Canis lupus familiaris: one gene and its partner. The protein of the gene in region 2 purifies or fractionates together with the protein of the main gene of each other region. This does not show direct contact. Links are inferred from orthologs where the notes say so. Each region holds a gene or a part of one and is shown on either strand. Other genes may lie near its edges.

The links.
Region 1: the proteins of FIBP (region 2) and C2CD5 purify together in Homo sapiens (affinity purification with mass spectrometry; 3 studies listed by BioGRID and IntAct, counting the BioPlex papers as one, with this or other methods). This does not show direct contact. The link is inferred for Canis lupus familiaris from reciprocal best matches to the Homo sapiens genes FIBP and C2CD5.

What each region holds. Positions count from the first base shown.
Region 1 is NC_049248.1:21,832,462-21,836,743, forward strand, and holds the start of C2CD5 (C2 domain-containing protein 5), read right to left. Parts: upstream 2,805-4,282; 5' UTR 2,590-2,804; intron 2,446-2,589; 5' UTR 2,411-2,445; coding exon 2,321-2,410; intron 1-2,320. UniProt on the Homo sapiens protein: Required for insulin-stimulated glucose transport and glucose transporter SLC2A4/GLUT4 translocation from intracellular glucose storage vesicle (GSV) to the plasma membrane (PM) in adipocytes.
Region 2 is NC_049239.1:51,878,083-51,882,385, reverse strand, and holds the start of FIBP (acidic fibroblast growth factor intracellular-binding protein), read right to left. Parts: upstream 2,806-4,303; 5' UTR 2,685-2,805; coding exon 2,600-2,684; intron 2,396-2,599; coding exon 2,197-2,395; intron 1,995-2,196; coding exon 1,868-1,994; intron 1,016-1,867; coding exon 915-1,015; intron 425-914; coding exon 291-424; intron 1-290. UniProt on the Homo sapiens protein: May be involved in mitogenic function of FGF1. May mediate with IER2 FGF-signaling in the establishment of laterality in the embryo.

The sequences.
Region 1 (4,282 bases), on a different chromosome or scaffold from region 2:
CATGAATAAATAAAATATTTTAAGATTAAAATTAAAAAAGTCATTCTTGAATAAAACCCCTCCCTCAGCAGCAAAAACCATTTATTACCAAGACATGATGATTTTACCTATGTCCCTCATGTTTTTCTCCTCTAATCAGTTCCCACAGCCATTCTTGACACGCACATATTGCCTGGATAATCTTACCACCTTCTCAACTCATCTCCCTGTCTCATCTCTCATCTGTCCAGTCCATCAATAACATTATCACACAAGTCCTCCTATAAACAACCTAATACAGCATCATATTTCATTTCTTCTTAAAAAGTGCTTTGCTGGGACAACTGGGTGGCTCAGCGGTTGAGCATCTGTCTTGGGTCAGGGCGTGATCCCGGGGTCCCAGGATTCAGTCCCACATTGGGCTCCTCTGCCTGTGTCTCTGCCCCCCCTCCCGTGTGTGTGTGTGTGTGTGTGTGTGTCTCATGAATAAATGAAGTGAAATCTTTAAAAAAAAAATTGCTTTGCTTACCCCTGCTTATAGAAAAGAAAAATTATGCAGTACAGAACATGAGATTTAGCACCAACCTACCTTTCCAGCCTCATCCCCTATAACCTCTACTGCCCAATTACTGCCTTTTACTCCAGACACATCTCAAATTAAGATAGTTCCGTAAACATACCATGTACCCCATTCTGTGCCTTTGATGTTCCCTCTACCTAGTAAAATCCTGATCGTCATTCAACGTTCAAGGTTCAGGTCAAATGTCATTTTCTTAGGAAAACTTCCTAAACCTTCAGAGACAGAATGAAGTTTCTATATTGTACAACACTCATCAACTTGTCTAGAGAGGTAATGTTAGCACGGTGGTTAAGAGAACAGACCACAAGTTTATTTATTAGGTTAAGAAACCCTAGGCAAATTATTTACTATTCCTAGGCCTCGGTTACCTTAACTATAATACGGGATAATAGAATAGCAGGCCTGTTATGAGGAGTTAGAATTAAAAAGTAGTTAGCAAAGACCTATAATGAGACTCAACACGATAACTATTAATTAACCTAAACTGCATGAGTCAGTCTCTGAGCTACCTGAAAGCAACTACGCTTTGGTAATCCGTGTATCCCCATTACCTGACATCTGGCCCAAGAACACACTCAGCATCTGGTTCTCAAGCGAAAATGAAGCTGGGATTAAGAATTACCACAGCAATGTTGAGGGGGGGGGTAAGAAACTGCAGTTATTAAGTCAGAGAACCTTTAGGGAACATCAAGAATATTTTATGTTGAGATGAAAGAAGGTTGTTTATTATCCTGTAGCTGTCAACTCTAAGCATTACCAGCCCAGATGATTATCATTCTAATGCTCTGGCTCATCAAGTCAGGTTTTCTTTTTAAGATTTTATTTATTTATTAATATGAAAAAGAGCGCGAGCAGGGCAGAGACACAGGCAGAGGGAGAAGCAGGCTCCATGCAGGGAGCCCGACGTGGGGGTCTCCAGGATCAGGCCCTGGGCTGAAGTGGCGCTAAACCGCTGAGCCACCCGGGCTGCCCTCAAGTCAGTTTTTATTACAATTTTTACTTGGCTTCCTTCAGACTCTGGGTTATTACTTTCCGGGGCCCTAGGCCTGTGCTAATTTGCATGAGTTTTAAACTAATCATCTGGCTTAAAAAGCAATTTTGCAATTGAAATCCATGGCACTTAATTGGCTTCCTACCTCTAGGCACTAAATTACCCTAAAACAGCTCATCGGATCTACCAGTCTATACAAGAGCAGAAAGCGCTGGGGTTGTCTTTTAAGACTTAACACTGATGACTCAGAGAATGTTACGCTCAAGAGTGCGATCGCCTCGCCTTGGAGACCTAGCAAGTGCCCATAACGGGCTGTATCTACCATCCTGACGTGATCTGCATTACTTTGGTTTGAGAGGCCACCCCTCCTTAAACAGAAGAACGTACACAGGTGTGTGTGTGTGTGTGTGTGTGTGTCTGTGTGTGTGTGTGCGCGCGCGCGCGTTCTGGTGGCTGCGCGGCCACGCCTCGGGATCTCCTGCCGACTGGCAGCTGGCCTGTTAGGAGTCCTGACCTCAGGGTCACCCCAGCATGCAGAGCAGGAACTGCCTCCCCGCGCGGCGGAGGACGCCGCAGATGCCCGGGAGCGGTGCACCCATCACAGGGGCTGCAGTCTGGGCAGTCGGCCCTCCAGGGAAGGCTGGACGAGCACCGCACAAAGGACGGCAGTCGGAAGGAGAGTGGGCTGACGAGCTGGGGGCGAGGTGGGTAGGCTCCTGCACAGGGGCTTGACTCTCCCTGTGTTTTGAGGGACAGGACCTTGCACCAACCTCCACGAAGGCATCAGTCAGGTCACTAGCTCGGTCCATCACTGGCAAATGGCGCCCGGCCACGATTTTCACCTTCAGCTTCCCAGGCATCTTCCCGGCCTCGGCCTCGGCCTCTTCTTGGGCTCCTGCAGAAACAAACAAGCGAGTCTGCGCCGAGCTCCGCGCCGGGCGGGGGAGGGGCGGGAGCGCGCAAGGAGCCGCGCGCGCAGCCGGGGGCGCGCGGGATAACTGATAGCGGAGGGCGCGCCACGCCGCCGATCGCCACTCACTCTCGGATGAATGAGGGGGCCGTCCCGCGCGGGCGCTGAGGCCTCATGCCGGAGAGGCAGCCGGAGGAGTGGCCCCGGAGGATTCCTCTACCCCGGCCCCACAGCGCTGGCGAGAGAAGCAAAAGCCCATGAGCATCCCGCGCAGGTTCTGCCAACCCGTCCTGGTGTTTTCCTCCCCCCAAAATGGCGGCTCTCGGGGCGTGAGGGAAGCATCGATCTTTCGGCGCTCGGCCCGCTTCGCCGAGGAGGAATTAAATTCGCCGAGAGCAGATGGAGGGGGCGGGGCGGACTGCACAGGGAAGTTGGTCGAGCCCTGCATCATCCACCGAGCCGGCGCGGCGGGTCGGCGCCTGCCTGCCTGCCTGCCTCGGAGCGGCCCGGGTCGCGGGGGGCGGGGTGCCCGGAGGTCTCGGTGGCTTCCCGGCTGCGAGCGCCGCATTCTCGAGGGGTGTGACCGAAGGAGCGGCGGCGCAGACTGCTAGAGAAGCGATTTCAGGCGGCCTGTAGCCACCAGTCCTCCTCAGTGGGTTGTAAAAATCAGTTTACCTGGTTCTGCCTGGAAGGGATGCAGTTCTTGTCGCATATGAAGGAGGGTAAGAAATTTCAGGGACATCTTGGGTCCTGGTCAAGTAAGTATTGCATACATAGCAACATTTTTTATTTTTTCAGTCGTATACACGTGTTACTGTAGGTCTTGGGGAAAAACAGAACTTTGAAATCCAAAGCCACCGAAGGAGTTTCCCCTGCATGCCTGCATAGGCTCAGTTCGTTTATTAAGCGTCAACAAGCCGACGACCTGCTTTACTGGCCGGAGGTCAGGACCTCCTACCTTTTGAAGTTTCTAGTCAACTGCAAAGAAAGAACCAGCCGAGCTTAATGAAACCGCTTGAACAATCGGCCTAATTACATGTGTAAATAAACATGCAAAAAAAGAGGCAAAATCTATAAGAAACCATCAGGAAAAAATTTGGGAAACTGAGGCACACGCACGGGATGTGACACAAGTCCCCCTACGCCAAATATGGAAAACAGCATTAACAGTATATACTATATCAAATACCAAAATCACCATTATCAATTACCATAGAAAGTTTTTTGTTGTTGTTGTTTTAACCACTGGATTCAACAGGATTGGAACATGACCAAATGATTTTTTTTTTTTTTTTTAAGTGATACACGTTTTCTCTAAGATACTTATCTTGGTTGCTTGGGTGGCTTAGGCCTGATCCTGGGGTCCTGGGATGGAGTCCACATCCAGCTCCCTGCTCCATGGGGAGCTTACTTCTCCCTCTGCCTATGTCTCTGCATCTCTGTTTGTGTCTGTCTCTCATGAATAAATAAAATTTAAAAAAAAAAAGATTTCTTTATTTGAGAGAGAGAAAGCATGGGGGTGTGGGGAGGCAAAAGGAGAGGGATAGGACCCAGAGCAGATTCTGCACTGAGCCTGGACCCCTTTGCAGGACTGGACCTGAGGACCCTGAGACCATGACCTGAACTAAAACCCGAGAGTTGGATGCACAGGCTGAGCCATCCTGGTGCCCTAAACTGATACACCTTTTTTGTTTTTTTTTTTTAAGATTTTTTTTTTTAATTTATTCATTTATGAGAGAGAGAGAGAGAGAGAGGCAGGCAGAGGGAGAAGCAGGCTCCACGCTGGGAGCCCGATGTGGGATTTGATCCTGGGTCCCCAGGA
Region 2 (4,303 bases):
TCCAGTGATATCCGGAGCCTTACACACCCACCACCTCAACAAACCCCCACAAGACAGACAAGGAAGTATCAGAAAGGTGAAGTGACACCTCAGGCCACAGACCAGCAGCAGGTCCTTTGTGCACAGACAAGCTGGGTGTGGGACACTGGGTTATGAGCAGTGGCGGCTGTGTTGTGGGCACTGAAGAAAGGATGCCCGAAAATGGGGCCCGCAGGATAAAGTGCTGGTGGGGAACCAGGCTCTGAGAGCGTGGAGAGGCATCCGGGCACCTGGGTGAGTGGGGGCCTCACCGACGGCTCCGAGGGTCCAGTTCTGGATCATGAGCTCAGCACAGAAGGCAAAGTCTCCAAAGCTCAGATACTGCAGTTTTTTCTTCCCTGTCTCGAAGCGGTTGTTGGCAAAGAAGACAATGGCTGCGTAGTCCCTGCAGGAAGGGGAAAGTGGGCCTGTCAGGGTTTCAAATTCCTTTTTAGCAAGCAGCTTGCACCTGCGACATTGGCCAGACATCTGACTTCTGGCCTGTCTCTGCCCCAGCTCACTACATGACATGCTTCAGGCCACTTTTCTCTGGGCCTCCTTGTTTGTGTACAGAGGTTTCAGCCCAGGTCTCCTAAGGGGTACAGAAGAAGACCTCAGGATAACAGTTACCATTTACTGAGCACTTCCTAAGCCCCAGGGGTTATACTATGGGCTTTATGTGTGGCATCTCACAACAGTTCCATTGGTAAATGGAACCTGGGATCTGAAGCCAGGCCAGCTTGATCCAAAGTGCAGGCCAGGCGTAGGATAGCCATCCCCCCAATGCAGCAGGGAGGTCAAGTGGGTTGGGGTGGGGAAGGTGGTCCTGCTTCACAGCCCAAGGAAGGAGGGTGCAGGAAGGGGAGATGGCTGGCTCCTTGCCCGACCCCCCTCACCTGGCCAACCGGTCAGACAGGAGGAAGTGTTGCTGAATGTTATCCACCAGGGAACCCCGCATTTCCTCCACCACCTTGAAGACTCGCTTAAAGTTGTCAAACTGTAGGGCAGTTAGGGGAGGAGGGAGGACTGGTCAGAGATTGGTCATCCAATAAACTGATTATTAAACATCCCTCCCTTACCTAGCCATCTATCCAGTCAACAGACTTAGCATGTGGTATTCTTCGATAAACTATTAACTGTTAATACCTGTTACCAATTCAACCATTTTGTCTTGGATAAATGTTTACTCATTTCTATCTCTGAATTCCCCTATTTTAGCATCATGCTCTCCAGTTCTTCGCGAACTTGTGCTGAAACTGATCCTCCTGGCTAAGGTCCAGGAAGTAAAAAATGAGCAAATGCTAAACTGTAAAGAGAGAGTGCACAAAAGACACAGAAAAAATACTATAGGCCCAGAAGGGTTACTTCTTCTTGGGCCACCAGAAAGGTTTGCGTAGAAGGTGGCATCTGGCTCCCTGCTTTGTATTTCAAGGGGTAGATAAGGCCAAGAATAGTACCCTCCAGGGAAAAGTAGCTGGAGCAAAAAGAAAGGCAGGGGCGCTGGAGAAATATAAGCTGAGAAAGGCTGGCAGAGACCAGACCATGGAGGAGTATGAAGGTCAAGGCCAAGGAATGTGGCTACTATCCAGGATGGAGTGGAAGAGCCAATTAAAGTTTCTGAGGAGGGAAAAGCTATGGTCAGATCTGAGCTTCTGAAAGAGTAGCTCCCACAGGAGAGTAGGAGATGCTTTGGAGGAGCAAAAGAAGGGACAGGAGACTGGGTATGAAGCCCCTCCCACAATCAGAGGTGAGGGAGGAGAATGGAGCTGGGGCAGTGACCAAAGGGATGGAGTGAAGGGGCAGACTGGACATGGGATGTTGCATTGGGGAGCAGGGGTGCAGTGCCCACTTGTCTCCGGCAGCTCTTGAGGGTGATGCCTGTTTTGGTGCTGATGTCATCCAGGTCTTTCTTGGTGCCCTTGGACAGCTTCTTGCCCAGGACCTCCCGCACAAAGGCCTCGTCAAAGGCATAGTACCTGCGTGGAGGCAGAGGACACCACTGACTTTCCACATAGGAGGGGAAAGGGGGTCCGGCAGGGCCCAGGTTTGGTCCCTCCAGAGACCATCTCAGTTGAGAAGGTCTCAACTTTCTTAGACCCTGTGTAAGTCCCATCCCATCCCGGGCCTCAGTTTCGGCCTGCAAAATGGGTATATGGTCAGTTCGGTTGGCATCCCCACCTCTCAATGAGCAGCGCCTGCCGAGAGGGCGGGATCTGGAAGATTAGCTGGTGCAACAGCTTGGGCGGTGCGTGCAGCAGGCGCTCGAGCATGTGGAAAGTTCGGTAGTGGTCCATGGTGTCGCTCTGCAGCACCGCTGCCGTGGCGCCTGTCTGCTCCAGGATTCCCGAGCGCACCCTCAGGGCCACTGCGTCACTTACTGGGGAGTGGGCGATACCGTTAGGCCCCGCTCCGCGAACCCACAGGCCCTCCGGGGATCCCAAGTCCAACTCCAAGTCCAACTCCTAAACATCCCTCACTCCCCCTGCCCAGTTCCCCACAGGACGGAATTCCCGGCCCCGCTCCGTCTCCCATCCCAAACAATCGCTCTTCTAACCCGCTCCGCAGACGGCCCCCCACACACCCGAGTAACCATCCAGCCAGAGGCGATACACGTCCTCGTCGATGAGGGTCGTGTTCCCCACGAAGATGTCCAGCTCGCTGGTCATGGCGACGCCCGGACCCGGGCGCAGCTGCAGCGCCCCAGCCGGAGCGAGCACTCCCCGGGTCCGGCGCGCCGCCGGCAGGCTACTTCCGGGAGCGCGGGGCTTCGGCTCCCGGCACCCGGAGCCAGAGAAGGACCACTTCCGGGACAGAGAGGGTGGGGCAGAAGCGGCGGCGGCGGAGTAGCCCCTCCTCCCAGCGGGAGGGGCAGCCCCCGGGTCCCCGCCCCCTGTCCTCACCCCCGCTCGTCTCCTGGCGGGGCTTGCCGGAAGGCGCAGGGGAGTCGAGGCCAACAGCTAGTGGCCCCAGCGCCGGCCACCTTCCCCCATCTCCCCCTTTCTCTGCCCTTTTCTGGGCCTCCCTACTTTGACTTGTGTCTTAAATGTAGGAGTTTCACAGATCTCTGTCCTGAATCTTTTCTCTGCAGAAAGTGTGTCTGACCTAATGTCCAAGGGCCATTGGTTTTAACCCTCGTCGCCCCCATCCCAGCCCGCCCCGCACTAATGACTTCTCTTACTCGGAGCTCGGAGCTCTGCCTGGGAAGTCCACATCAGGAGGGCTGCCGAGCTGCTTGTTTTTCTACGCTGTTTCCCTACAGGCCCCTCAAAAGCTAGACAGCCTTTTTTCCAATCTGTTTCTTTCCTTCGTTCCTATCTCAGTGATAGTCCCAACATTTACCCAGTTCTCATGCCAGAACCCTGGGTTTTCTCCCAGAGTCCTCTTTCCTCACATTCAGTTCTGCTGATTTGCTTCCTGAGTATTTCTAGGTTTCGTCCTCTCCACCCCTACGGGCACTGTTCCAGCCCAGTCCTGCATGGCTCTACCTTGCCCATTGACACAGTGTTTTTTACTAATCTCCCTGCCTACATCTCTTCCCCTTGGTGCATCCCACACAGAACAGCCTGAATAATTTTTTTAATGTATATTTTAAAATGTTACTCCCCTGCTTAAAATCCTACTTGCCTGTGGCAACGTTCCTGCCAACTACCTTTGTGGCTTCTCTCCCTCAGGTTACCATTTTCTCCACACACCCATCTTTTGAAAACAATGAGCTACTCTCAGGGTTCCTAAAGCAGCTAGGCCCCCATGGTGTTTCACCACGCTATTCCTGCTTGCTGAAATAGCTCTTTACTCATCAAAGTCCTATACATCTTTCAGGGCCCCTCAGATTACCACCTCTTCGGGGAAACCTTTCTGGACCATGTCTCTCCCCGCGTTTACTTCTTGTTTAACACAGCCTGTCTCCCCCACTAAATTATGACCTCTTTGAGGACAGGATCAGAATCTTAGTCAAGTTTATTTCTGCCCGAGCTTTGCACACAGTAAAAGTTTATTGAATAAATGAATCCCTGTATGTGCCTCCCCACCCTCCGCCCCCACCCTGGACAGGAAACCATCCTTAAGAGGGTAGCCTGATGGTGAGCCAGGCACGTTTGGACTCCGGGTTCCGAAGAGCTGGAAGTGATGTTCAATGAGCCGAGACTCTCGAGCATGAATTAAGCTAGAAAAGTTGGAGACGAGACCCCTCTGGGTTCCGTCAGGGGTGGGCTTGAGAGTCGGTGGCCGACACCGGAGTCTAAGTTCTCAGAAAGAGTCGAGAGGCCTAGGCTAGAGCGTGAGGAAA